Linked DNA regions of Nothobranchius furzeri. The protein of the gene in region 2 purifies or fractionates together with the protein of the main gene of each other region. This does not show direct contact. Links are inferred from orthologs where the notes say so. Each region holds a gene or a part of one and is shown on either strand. Other genes may lie near its edges.

Region 1 (5,426 bases), on a different chromosome or scaffold from region 2:
GCGTTAACTAGCTAATTGCTAAAAACAAGAGGAAACTCTTGTGCACCTTTCACTTTAAACTGCCTCACTTCTATAACAGTCGAGCGTCAAAAACACAATTTACCGACAACAGTCTTAATATAAGAGGTTAGAAATCCGAGCAAAAGGAACTCCTCCATCTCAGAGAACAACGTTCGTTAGTTGGTGTGAAACTCACGTTCAGTTCTCCAAGGGGACGACGTTTGAACAGCTGTTCTCCAGCGCCAGCCCCGGCTTTAAAATGAGCCCAGACTCACCGAAAAGTCCAACTGTTCGGTCCAGAACCACCATGCTTCACGTTGGTCGCCAAAAGTTGTTTTTTCAGTCGTACTTCATACAAAAGATCAGCGCCCACAACCCCCAGGAAGCCCGCGTGAGCGTCATATCATGTAGGCGGGGCTTAAATGTTGAGCGCCGGTGATTGGACAGGATAACAGAAGAGGGAGGAAACTATATATTTTGATTGGATACATTTTGTGTCACTCTGAAAAATTTTTTTAATGAAAAAGTTTGGATAAAAATCCCAACCTGGGTTTGTAGTGATGATAATCTCAGTTTTAGATTCCATACACAACATTTTAATTATCAAAATGCAAGTTTAAAAAATATTTAATACAAAAAAGGTTGTGCAGCTTTTTTTTTTTACTTGAACATGTATACATTTGCCAAAAATGGATGTCCAAGATGCCAGACACAATGCTCTGGAAAACGCCTGAAAGCTGATCACCTGTTACAGCTGGCATCAAACCAATACTGCTATTCAGAAAAAGTGTCTTCTGCCAACCACAGTCAAGACACGGGAGCGGCAGAGTGATGGGCCAGGCTGCTTCAGGGCCTGGCCCATTTGCTGTAAATTCATTCCTGAAAGAGACTGTCTGACCTTTGACCTTCCACAGGCTGTTCATATTGGAAAACCCCCAATATGACAAGCAACTCTGTAAAGAAAAAAGCTGTAACTGGCAAACCCATAATCTGCAGCTACAACAGTTTCTTGGTTAGACAGCGGTGTGGAGAAAGAACCAGCTTCATTCACATTTACATTTCAAGTTTTATTTTAGAGAATGTGTCAAATCAAATAGCCAAATCATTTAATCACACTCCATCAGAATGAGGCATTTACATAACAGCTATAAGCTAGGACTTGTTGACTTGCTCCAGTATAATTCAGCAGAGCAGCTGTTCATGACAAGGCTGTGGATCACACCCCAGCCAACGGACACGCAGAACACAGCAGCTCTGTCCAGAACGGGCTTCAGACATGCCTGATTCTGTGTGATGATGAATCAGGTGCTATTCTCACAGGGCTGCTCCACATGCTTCTACTGTATCACTTGGTATAATTTCTACCACTTTTAATACATTTCCTATTTGCAAGTAGACACAATTTCTGCTAACCTTAAAACAGGATAATGATGTGCCTTGCTAGTCAGTCAGATGACGTCCAGCGTGATTCAGTTCTCCGATTTGTTTTCGATTTATGGACAAACAGTTTTGAATTATTGAATTGTACTTTAAATACACACGCAGGGGAACACACAGCTAAAACGACTGCTCCTCAGCCTCTGGTAAGGACAGCAGCACTCTAGAGTTGTGTCTGGGGAGAAGAGCATGTTGCTGAGGCTGAGTGACGGGCTCAGCATCGCAGTGCTCTATGAGGGAGGGAGGAGGCAGCAGGTGACCACACCTGGTCCCTGCTCTGGGAGGATCCAGAGGAGGAAAGAAATACCTAAAGTAACATCAGAGGAAAATAAAAAGGGGAGCAGACAAACACAATGGATACATAGAAAAGGAGGAAGGTTTGGGGTGGGAAGACACCAAAAATACAAACAAGGAAACATAAAAAGGAAGTAGAAATGAAAATTTAACAGGAAAAATATCCATGCATGCTTCAGAAAAAATGTCAGGCAGGCAATGTTGGGTTGAGTGAGTGTGACCACACACACACACTCACTTTGGTCTTTGGTAAAGACCAAAGGTGACAGATCATTTGCTGCTGTGTCCCCTAGACTCTGGAACTCTCTCCCCCTGAGCCTGAGATCAGTGGACTCAGTGGTCTCCTTTAAAAAGCAGCTGTTCAGGCTTTGGTGTGACCTTCATCACCCTCTCCTTATTCTGCTCTCCCCACCTATTCCACCTTCCTCAGGATCCACTGATTTCCCCCTTTCCTATTCACTCTCTCTTTCTTTACATTTTTAATCACAATTGTCAATTTTTTTGCTCATTTTAAATATATTTTTAATCATTTTCTAAATTCTTTTTTATATTTTACATGTTTTTTTTGTGAAGCGCCTTGTGATTTTTATCTTGAGAGGCGCTGTAGAAAAAATCTTTTCTTCTTCATTGCCCCACAGCAGTAAACCTCTGCGACATGAGGTTGTGAGGTACACGCACCAAGGTTTCATGCCAAAAATCCAAACTTCAACAAGTTATCAGCTATGAAATGTGCTTCGGTGGGACTAGTCTCAAACAGCCACGGGGAGCAGGCGGTGGCGTGCACGAGACATTAGTAATATGCAGGACTCTGGTTTATCTTTGGAGAGGTCAGCTGCCGCAGGGGAGGAGCAAAGGAAGCTCTTTTGGCAATCCTGCATGCAACAAGCAATAAAATAGTAAATTAACTTCAACAAACTCACTTCACATTTGTTTTTAATCAACGTGTATCTGGAATGGTAGACGTGGTCAAAGTTATGCAAACAGCTGGTCGTAGGAGTTGTTATATACTACACACATTTGTTACTCAGATTAGGAACAGGAACAACATAACAGCTTGATTATATGTTCAAGAGATAATTCAGCCATTTTAAATGTGTTTTAGTGTAAAAGTTAGAAATGATTACCACGCTGTAGATGGCTTTAACGAAAAAGTCAAACCTGTCTAAACAGGCAGCTGGTCTTATTTCTCCAAACAGAGGGCATTCAGGAAGTAATCTACAGCAGCTGGAAGTTTTCTCACAATTACACTCAAAATTCATTCACAGTGACTGAAATATCCCACAGAATCTAAGGCTGATGAATACAACAGAAGATGAATACAGCCTCACATCAACGCCGACCAAACCTGAAACCACAAACTTCTTAACCAATCAGATGGCCATGTTATTTTCCCTTTATGGTTACATTTAGATTATAGAAAATCCATAAATGCATACAGTACTTCCTAAAACAGGAGCTTTGTTTAAGACAGACAGTTCTGACTCTGACGGCTGTATTCATCCTCACATTCATGGATCAGGGTTGGTTAATGGTTTCGATCTGCTCAGCAAAGAGTTTGGCGTTTCTCCGACTCTGAAACATGAGTTTTGAATCACTTTGCTGCTGGTGCACCGGGACGTGGAGATGAAACCGCCCGTCCCAGCGAGGCTCCCTAACAATACAACGGCTCTGCTGAATCTCCTAAAATAACTACATATCAACATTCATATCCAAAATCAGACACAAGGTCAGTCCTTACATTAGGTAAGTGGAGACATCTCTTTTGACATGCATAAGCAGAAAAACACCTCCCGCTCCACACACACAACCTGCAGCTGGAGGACAGAAGCCAAGCTCTTTGCACCGGGTCAGTGTGAGTCCAACAGCTTTGTCAGTGGGCGGCTGCACTCCCAGTCAGTGTGAGGGGCAGGGAAGTTGTCAGTTGTGACGGTTTCATCTGGGACGGGGTGAGTGGCGTCAGGCACACGACACCACCTACCTTCCTGCTGACATCCCGTTCAGGGCATTCTGGGAGGTCTGGATGGAGGAGCCCACCACGGTGCTCATGGCGCTGGGTTGACCAGACGAACCTGTCAACGGGCTGCCGTCCCCCTTCAGGATGCCGGTGCACTTCCAGTTGTCCATGTAGTTAGCTGCTCAAAGACAGGAAGTGACATCAGTGTTTGTTCATCTTCAGAATGGAGGAAAAGCAATGAGGCAAGGCCTCGACTCGGAGCCTTGTTGTCCAGGACTGAAACACCAACAGCTGCAAGGGATTCTGGTTTCAGCACACTTTGAGAAGGGTATCGCTGCAGACCCGGAGACCACAGATTCAGGCCGACTGCCGAGTACTTTCCCTGATCACTTTCAGAGGACAACTATATACTGCCCTCTAGTGGGCTTTTATTGCAGGTTTAACCTTTAACCAGACTCTGCCAGACGTTCCCAGCAGACCCTCACAATACGTTTAAGCTTGCCAGGTCTGACCGGCATCCTCCCCCCACCATCGAAGCCAACTCACCACCATGCAGGGGTCAGTTGACAGCTCCACCCCTCTCTTCACCCGAGTGTCCAAGACATGCGGCAGATGAAACAACAACAAAGTCTATCATCAGGCCAGCGGAACGAGGGAGTCACAGTGTTCCCTCACCCAGACGCGGGTCACCAGGGGCCCCTCTGGAGCCAGGTCTGCAAGTGGGGCAGGTTAAAGAGCCCCTGGCGGCTGGGCTGTCACCCAGGAAACCCAGCTGGGCACAGCCTGAAGAGGAAACGTGGGTCCCCCTTCCCATGGGCTGCAGAAGCTACCTCTCGGTACCATACCACTTTATTTGTAGAGCGCTTTTAACGCAGCATTACAACCGACCAAAGCGCTGCACATAAAAACAAATGAATAAAACAGGGTATCTGCAGGTTTAAGAGAGCCAAATTTAAGACTTTTTAAGACCTTTTTTGAGGCCACTTTGACCAAATTTAAGATATTTAAGCAGGGCAGCAGTAGCTCAACAGGTTGAGCGGGTTGTCCAGTAATCGGAAGGTTGCAGGTTCGATCCCGGCTCCGGACAGAGAATTCTGCTGTTGAGTCCTTGGGCAAGACACTTAACCCACCTTGCCTGCTGGTGGTGGTCGGAGGGACCGGTGGCGCCTGTTCTCGGCAGCCTCGCCTCTGTAAGTGCGCCCCAGGCCAGCTGTGGCAACATCATGGCTCATCCCCACCAGTGTGTGGATGTGTGTGTGAATGGATGAATGATACACTGTAGTGTAAAGCGCTTTGGAGTCCTTACTCTGAGAGGCGCTATACAAGTGCGGGTCATTTATCATTTAAGCTATAATTTCCAGCTGTTGCCTGGAACCGGTGCTAACCACGCCATGATCGTGGGATTAGCCATCCAGTTACCATTAAACTTCCCCATGGCGCAAGCTCCCACTAGCTTAACCAGCTAATGTGCTCATCTAAAAATAGCCCCCTTTCACAACCAACTGAATGTGTACGGTTCCGCTTACGCCAACAACGTACACAAAAAACGCTAAACACCAACTAGAAATTCACGAAAAGTTTATAGAAATAAAAGAATTTTGTTTATTGGGTCTTTTAAGACCTCTGGAAACTGTATTTAAGGATTATTTGTCATTTTTAAGGATTTTTAAGGCCTTAAATTTGGAAAAGCTAATTTAAGGCTTTTTAAGACTTTTTAAGGACCCGCGGATACCCTGTAAAA
Region 2 (8,055 bases):
GTGTGTGTGTGTGTGTGTGTGTGTGTGTGTGCGTGTGTGTAGCATACCGTGCTCCCTGATGCTGGCTGAACAATCCAGGCGTACTCACTCCTGATGAGGCGGAGACAGTTAAGAGCAGCCAGGTAACAGTTCACCTGTTTCTGAAGGCCAAGCTGCGTACGAATCTCCCGGCCCAGACGCATCCCAAACTCAAACATGACGGTCCCCGCTGAGTGAACACGGATACACACACTATGCAGTCGCACACACGTATAATTAGGTGGAATTTGCATGTTTGCTTTGGCACCTTTCCTGTAGTTGTGTCGGGTAATGTGGAAGGCGTACAGAAGCTCGTAGTAATTGTGGGTCAGCAGATCCAAACTACGAGCACGGGACTCGATGATGCTGACTACCTGAAGGTCCCGTGAGAAGGTAAATATTACATTTTTAGAAATAAACACATGCAACAAAACAACTGCAGAGAAGAAAATCTGTTCAGGCTTTGCCAGACTGTGGATGAATGAAACCCATCCAGCCATCCATTTTCATCCGATTATCCGGAGTCGGGTCGCGGGGGCAGCAGCCTAAGGCGAGAGGCCCAGACTTCCCTCTCCCCAGCCACTTGGGCCAGCTCCTCCGGGGGAATCCCAAGGTGTTCCCTGGTCCGGTGAGAGACATAGTCCCTCCACCGTGTCCTGGGTCTACTTTAGGTCTCCTCCCAGTTGGACGTGCCCAGAAAACCTCACCAGGGAGGCGTCCAGGAGGCATCCTAACCAGATGCCCGAGCCACCTCAACTGGCTCCTCTCGATCTGGAGGAGCAGCAGGTCTACTCCGAGCCCCTCCCGAATGACCGAGCTTCTCACCCTATCTCTAAGGGAGAGCCCAGCCACTCTTTGGAGAAAACTCATTTCGGCCGCTTGTATCCGCGAACTCATTCTATCGGTCACTACCCAAAGCTCATGACCATAGGTGAGGGTAGGAACGTAGATCCACCGGTAAATCGAGAGCTTTGCCTTCTGACTCAGCTCTCTCTTCACCACGACAGGCCGGTACAACGCCCGCATCACTGCAGACACAGCACCAATCAATCTGCCTATCGATCTAATGAAACCGTTAGGGTTAAAGATATCCACCCAAGCACTACGCCCCAGCTCCCCATCAGGCCCAGTGGTGATCAGCTCCAGACCTGCCTCAGAGGTGGAGCCTTTATACCGACCAGTCAGAACTTCCACATGGACCCATTTACAGACAAACAATAACATGCATAGGTTACAAGTGTGTTTGGACTGTTTCCGATACATAAAGATACCATGGTAACGGTAAAGGTACTGTGGTAATGGTAAAGATACCATGATAATGGTAATGTAAGGTAAAGATACCACGGTAAAGGTAAAGATATTATGGTAATGGTAAAGATACCATGATAATGGTAATGTAAGGTAAAGATACCACGGTAAAGGTAAAGATATTATGGTAATGGTAAAGATACCATGATAATGGTAATGTAAGGTAAAGATACCACGGTAAAGGTAAAGATATTATGGTAATGGTAAAGATACCATGGGAAAGGAAAAGGTACCATGGTAATGGTAAATATACCACAGTAATGTAATGGTAAAGGTAAAGATACCATGGTCATGGTAATGTAATGTAAAGGTAAATATACTATGGTAATGGTAAAGATATCATGGTAAAGGTAAAGATGCCATACGATGAACAACTGCAGGAAATAAAAGATTTTCAGTCAGGGCTCACCTCATCATGCAGGTGGACGTAGGGAAACTGGACTAAATCCTGCAGCTGAGAGCGTTCACACAGAACCACCACCAGCTGGCGAAGACAATCCAGCTGCCTGGAACACAAACAAGCATTCAGCTGAAACATCACCGGAGGATCAGTCTGAATATTTACAGATCAGATGTGTGAGAATCTGTCCGTTTGCAGCTGGAGAATTCGGGGTCTTCTTGGAGACATCCCCACACCAAGATTAGGATGTTGCTGTCGAGTCAGACCAGGCAGCTCCCACTGGTCGGTTGGTCTTGGTGCACAGATGGAAAATGTCCTAAGCTGAAACACATTTCTCTGTAGCTAAAGCAGAAAGCGAGAGTCCTAGAACGCTCCTAGGTGCTTAACATTCATCCATGGACACTGGTGGTGATGAGCTGCATTGTAGCCACAGCTGCTTTTATTGGCCGTTGCTCCAGTAATAGCTCAGACTATTAACCTGAGTTCATCTTCTGGATCTGTCCCTGATGACTTTAAGGAGAATATGAATTATTCTCTTCTGAAAAACCCTGGGTTAAGTGCCTCACATCCAGTTAAATTTAGACTTACTTTCCAAGCTCCTTTTCTTGAGCAAATTACTGGATAAATGTGTATACATTTGATTAATTGACTCCTTAAATGAAAATGAGCTGTTGGAAACTTTTCAATCAGGCTTCAAAGTGCTGCATGGTGCCGAGACAGCACTGGTGAGAGTCATTTTGTCCGCTGCTTTAGACACAGTGGATCATGATGTGCTAATCGACTGTCTTGGACAATAAATGGGTGTTTCAGGTTTGGCCCTGGAGTGGTTTAGATCATCCCTTGAAAACAAAACGACATCAGAATGAGTGGTTTCTCGTCTGCCTCTTCACATCTTCCCTGGGGTGTTCTCCAGGGTTCTGTGCTAGGACCGCAGCTGTTTCTGATTTACATTCTTCTGCTGGGGGATATCTTCCGTAGCATTTGTTTGCTGATGACTGCCAACTTTATTTTCCCCTAAATGGTGAACACGGCCGTTCTATGAATAACCTACCTAGTGGAATACCGTTTCCGTTTATCAGCGGGCAGCAGCGGACGGTGTTGCCCTCTGCTGATAATGTAGAAATGTGGATGCGGAAAGACCCTACTGGCTGATTCTACCCACCATTTGGGAGGGTCCCTTCAATAGGAGTCATGAATTTGAACTGGCCAATCAGTGAGCAGGGGGTGTGATCAACTAGTTCAGCCCATAGCAGACTGACTTGGGAAGAGGGCTAAAAAACTACCCGTCGCACGCGGGAAAATTCAAGAACACTCTGTACCTGGTCCAGGCAGAGTAGAGCTGATGCTAATGTGGAAGCCCTTTATGTCTCAGTGTCAAACATGGCAGGAATCTAACAGCTCATATCAGCGATCATAATGTAACTCAGACTCTCTGGTTGCCCTTCTGGGTATTATTTTCGATCTACTGTCGGCAGCAACACATGCCTTACAAACTCTTAACTTTTTCAACAGAATTGCTCGTAACGGAGCATTTCCTAGCATAGCAAAGCGGCAAAAACCAGAACAACCTCTCCCGCCCACTGAACTCACCTTCAAAATAAAACGTTAACCCCAACATTGCCTATTCTAACCGTTAGAACATGTTTGAGGTCATTTGGTCACTCCGGCTCTCCGTAGCCGTTTCATGATTACACGGGGGAGGGCTTTGGCTGGTCTTTCCAAAAGCAGTATAATCAGAGCTCCTTTGGCAGCCACGATGAAAAGGCTCGCTGAAACCTGAACGGACTTCCCAAGTAATTAAAAACCAGGAAGCCAAATGCAACGTTTGAGGCAGAACATTGACCCAGAAGTTTTCTGATTTAGCAGACTTGTGAGTACATGTAATGACCGCTTAGACGGAGCAAGCTAGTGGCTAGCATAGCTACTGGATTGGTTATATCAATATAAAGTCCACTTGTTTCTTGTTTGAAATTACATCAATATTTTAAAAAATATCTATATTTTGTCCAGTCCTACGTCAGACGAACCATAACCTGGCAGGAGCAGGAGCAGCTGTAATGAGACTCAGCTGCACAAAAGATACCCCCCTTTCCTTCTCAGTTCGAATGCTAAATCACGTGTGTGTGTATGTGTGTGTGTGTGTGTGTGTGTGTGTGTGTGTGTGTGCATGCGTGCGTGCGCACGTACATGCTGCTGTCTGGGTTTTGGGTCAGAGCTTCGTAAGCTTCACTGTTGTGACCCAGATCCAGGTGATGCTTGAATATCTTGGTCCACAGAGCTGCCTGAAAAAAACACACACACACACACACACACACTTACTGATCTGCACTAACAGGAACAAAACAGTACAACAGGCCACCGTCCCCTACCTGACTGTGGGCATCACCAGCTGCTTCTGATAAGGCCAGAGAGGCGAGCTGGATGACAAACTCAGGTAGACCCATGTCCTCCAGCAGCCGCAACACCTGCACACAGTGATGTTACACAGGTAAGCAGGGCAGTCACACACATTAAGCAGATCACCTTTTCTAGCAAGAGGAAAAGTCCTTGGATTAATCAAAACATTAACAGACTCTGAAGGACATGCCGCAGAGAAGTTGGACGTTAACTAGATTAGAAAGTCACAGGCTGCACTTTAAAGAATGGATAACATCTCTGAACGAGACAGTGAAATAATCTCTGGGCCACTTACTTTGCTCAGCTGATTGCTGTAAACAAAATAACTCTAAAGTCCTGCTTGACACCATAAACCATATTGTTTCACCTCACGCCCCTCTAATGCCAGTTTACTCAAGGTTCGACTGTTTAATGTACCAAAGGGAATTATAAATAACTTTACAGCTTTAAAGTCTAAATAATCATATGTGTTGAATGAATAAGATGTTTAGATCAAATGTTTGAATAATCTGTGCTTAAATCAACTAATTTAAAATGAATATTGGTCCTATAATGATCCATTTCAGATCTTATCTACACCAGATCAGTATGAGTTTGATTTAACAAGTTATTCATTATCTACACTCATACACATTACAATAAGATACTCATTAATGTAATATTCACCTCACATAAGTGTTTTAAAACATTCTCATTCACAAAGTGTTAAACACCTTTGTATCTAAAGAAGGGATGTTTGGTAAAATCCTCAAACAAGTCGAATCCCGATTTGCCTAAAATTATAAACAATGAGTTCATTAAAACAAGAATTACTTCCTGATTAATTCAGTTTCCAGCTGACTCCCGACTTGGCCAAATTGGGAAAGAAGCCTCTTTTGAAACCATCTCCTTTGACCTCCAGTCAAAGCCTCTTTGCACGCTGCAAGCTGACACAGCCCAATCGGCTCTTTCAGTAGCCAAACATCAACCTTGGACGCAAGCAAGCATTCCAGCATACTGTTTTGACCTGGATATATCTCAAGACTAGACGAGTCGTATCGGAGCTAATGTACGGGCCCCGGATACCTTGAGGTAGATGTCTACCCCGACTTCTGACAGTCTGGATCTGCTGGGGGTGTCTACACAAAGAGTATTGTAGACTCAACAGATTGAGTTTGATCGTACCTTTCTAACAGAAGTTACATTGTCTGCATAAACCAAATCATGTCAGATTCTACCCATCTGTTCTGTGGGGTACCCCAAGGCTCTGTTTTGGGTCCACTGTTGTTTCTACTGTACATACACCCTCTTGGACAAATAAATGATCCTTTTCATAATGTCTTTTATCACCTATATGCAGATGATATTCAGCTGTACTGCTCCTTTAAGGATTCTGAGTTTTATAAACTGTGAATTACTAGAGTGTCTATCAGCGATCACCAGCTGGCTAGAACAGGGGTGTCAAACTCATTTTAGCTCAGGGGCCACATTGAGGGAAATCTAGTCCCAAGTGGGCCGGACCGGTAAATAAAAAAAAAACTTCAGATTGTTTTCTTTGTTTTAATACAAACAATATAAAGCAAGGCTGGAGCCTGAGGACAGTGTATCCAAAATAGTACAAGTACAACACCTGAAGTGTACTTGAAAATTTGAAAATACTAAAAAAAATCAATAAATAAAATAAACATTCCTTAGTGATTCAAAGAGCTTACAGATCACATGGCTAGATCAGTTTCAAGCACCACTTAAAGTATATTTGACTCATTTTACTTTACATCTTTTAGCTTTCACCAGCACATCAACATCAGAAGTCACATCCTGAGTGGCGGCCAACTTCAGGATGTGATTCAAGTTCTTGTGTGAGCCTTGAGCGCAGCTTTGTTTTATTTATACTCATTACAGAGGAAACTTGCTCACAAAGATAAGTTTATTTTCACTCTACATTGTAAAGTATGAAAATATAGTTTACACAACCATCTCGCGGGCCGGATTTAAACTGCTTGCGGGCCGGATCCGGCCCGCGGGCCGCATCTTTGACACCCCTGGGCTAGAAGATAACTTCCTCCAGTTAAACTCTGAAAAGACCGAATATCTGATCATTGCCCCTTAGAGCATGGTTCCCCTGATTAGTCTAAAGCTTGGTCATTTATCCTCTGTCGTCAAGACGAGCTTGAGGAATTTGGGTGTTTTTGACCAAGGATGGTGTCAAAACATGAACTTGAAACAGTTATCGATGCCTTTATCTCCTCCCGTTTAGAGTTCTGTAACACACTCTTCATGTTTTAACAAAAAAGCCCTTGACCGCCTTCAGTTGGTCCAGAACTCTGCAGCGAGGCTCCTAACTGGAGCAAACCGAAGAGCACACATCACTCCTATTTTAATGTCTCTGCACTGGTTACCCGTTAACTTTAGAGTTCATTTTAGAATCCTGATTATAACTTTCAATGCTCTACATGGTCAAGCTCCTCCCTATATTACTGAACTGTTAAAGCCTTATGCTCCAAACCGAGCTTTCAGGTCCACACACCAAAACCTTCTAGAAGTTCCAAAGACCAGATATAAAGTCCAGGTGATCGCTCTTTCCAGACTGTTGCACCCCGACTTTGGAAGGATCTTCCTTTATCCTCACGTAGCATTGACAGTCTCGACACTATTAAAACCCTTTCATTTAAAGCAGCTTTTACATTAATCTTTAATTTTATTCTTTTAATCTTAAATTTGTAAAATCTTATCTGTTTATGAAATTTAATAATTTTATGACTTTTTCTGATGTTTATCCATTTCTGTTTTGAGATCATTATGATTTTATGACTGTTTTATTTTGATCTAAGTGAAGCACTTTGTGATTCTATGTCTGTGATAAGTGTTGGATAAAAACTGATATTACTGTTAATAATGTCTTCAATGGTTTGATCTCTGGGGGTTTTAAACGAAGGTTCATCTATTTCTATTTCTCTGGGAACAGACAGGCTTTTGTAAGCTCTAACTGGGAGGACTGACCTTGCTCTCGGTACCAGACTTGGTGCTGGGGCTGGTCCCCCTTATCAGTAGAACTCCCTTGAGAAGTCCAGACAGCTCTGTTTTAGAAATTGCACCTGGTGTGCCTTCTCGCCTGAGTCTGTGAGAACCTCAAATGTGTGTGTAAATGTGTGTGCGTTGTATCTTTCCGTGTGTCTGCTTAATAAATACTCTTGGAGGACTTTGATGAGAGTGAAGTATCGGACCTCTGTGTGGTGTGCATTTCATTCTCCACTTTGCAAAGTCTAAATTGTTTTGTTGGTCGATTATTGGTATATGGTTTTGATCAGCTGATTATTATAACCCCTGCGTGTTGAACTTTCCCTAAGGTAATCCTGGATGGGAGATAAAATTACCTAACATTAAGTGCTATATAAATAAAGTTTACTTACTTACATTGGTGATGTCACACCACTACTGCTGCCTTACCTTGTTGTAGTACTGTAATCTGGGGCTGGAAGCAGCCTCTTCATCCCCACAGCTCGTCAGCTTCATCAGAAACGCCTCCCGCTCCACCTCTGATGCCGCTTCCTGAAAACACTGTAGAGCCTGGTGCAAACAGGAAATGATGTCACAGTGAGTCCTGTGAGCTTGCTACAGGTAAGGTGTACAGAAGAACGTTTACTTACCTTCTGGCCTTCCCCGTTAGCTAGGTGGCACTGACCCAGCACAAAACGACACGAGCCGATGTTCACCTGACACCACGGGCCAATCAGCCGCATGTACTCCTGCACAGGTGAGACACTCGCTCTCAAGCTACTTACATGAAGGTTTAAACAGACATGTGGATGACAAGAGGACAGATGCCCAGCTGTTTGGTCACCTGCTCCACTACATCTGGTTCTGTTGGGTTAGAAGTCCACACTAGTAAGAAAAGACTCACCTGCAGCTGTGTGAACTGACAATTAGCCACCAGGCACTCCAGAAACTGGAAA

The links. The genes of interacting proteins can lie anywhere in the genome.
Region 1: the proteins of nup160 (region 2) and seh1l fractionate together in Homo sapiens (co-fractionation; 3 studies listed by BioGRID and IntAct, with this or other methods). This does not show direct contact. The link is inferred for Nothobranchius furzeri from reciprocal best matches to the Homo sapiens genes NUP160 and SEH1L.

What each region holds. Positions count from the first base shown.
Region 1 is NC_091745.1:49,013,295-49,018,720, forward strand, and holds the end of seh1l (nucleoporin SEH1), read right to left. Parts: intron 3,864-5,426; coding exon 3,710-3,863; intron 2,604-3,709; coding exon of another isoform or gene 2,522-2,603; exon of another isoform or gene 2,293-2,521; intron 1,745-2,292; coding exon 1,558-1,744; 3' UTR 1,047-1,557; downstream 1-1,046. UniProt on the Homo sapiens protein: Component of the Nup107-160 subcomplex of the nuclear pore complex (NPC). The Nup107-160 subcomplex is required for the assembly of a functional NPC.
Region 2 is NC_091744.1:79,815,177-79,823,231, forward strand, and holds part of nup160 (nuclear pore complex protein Nup160), read right to left. Parts: coding exon 8,004-8,055; intron 7,849-8,003; coding exon 7,750-7,848; intron 7,670-7,749; coding exon 7,550-7,669; intron 4,192-7,549; coding exon 4,096-4,191; intron 4,009-4,095; coding exon 3,914-4,008; intron 1,833-3,913; coding exon 1,736-1,832; intron 393-1,735; coding exon 287-392; intron 209-286; coding exon 48-208; intron 1-47. UniProt on the Homo sapiens protein: Functions as a component of the nuclear pore complex (NPC). Involved in poly(A)+ RNA transport.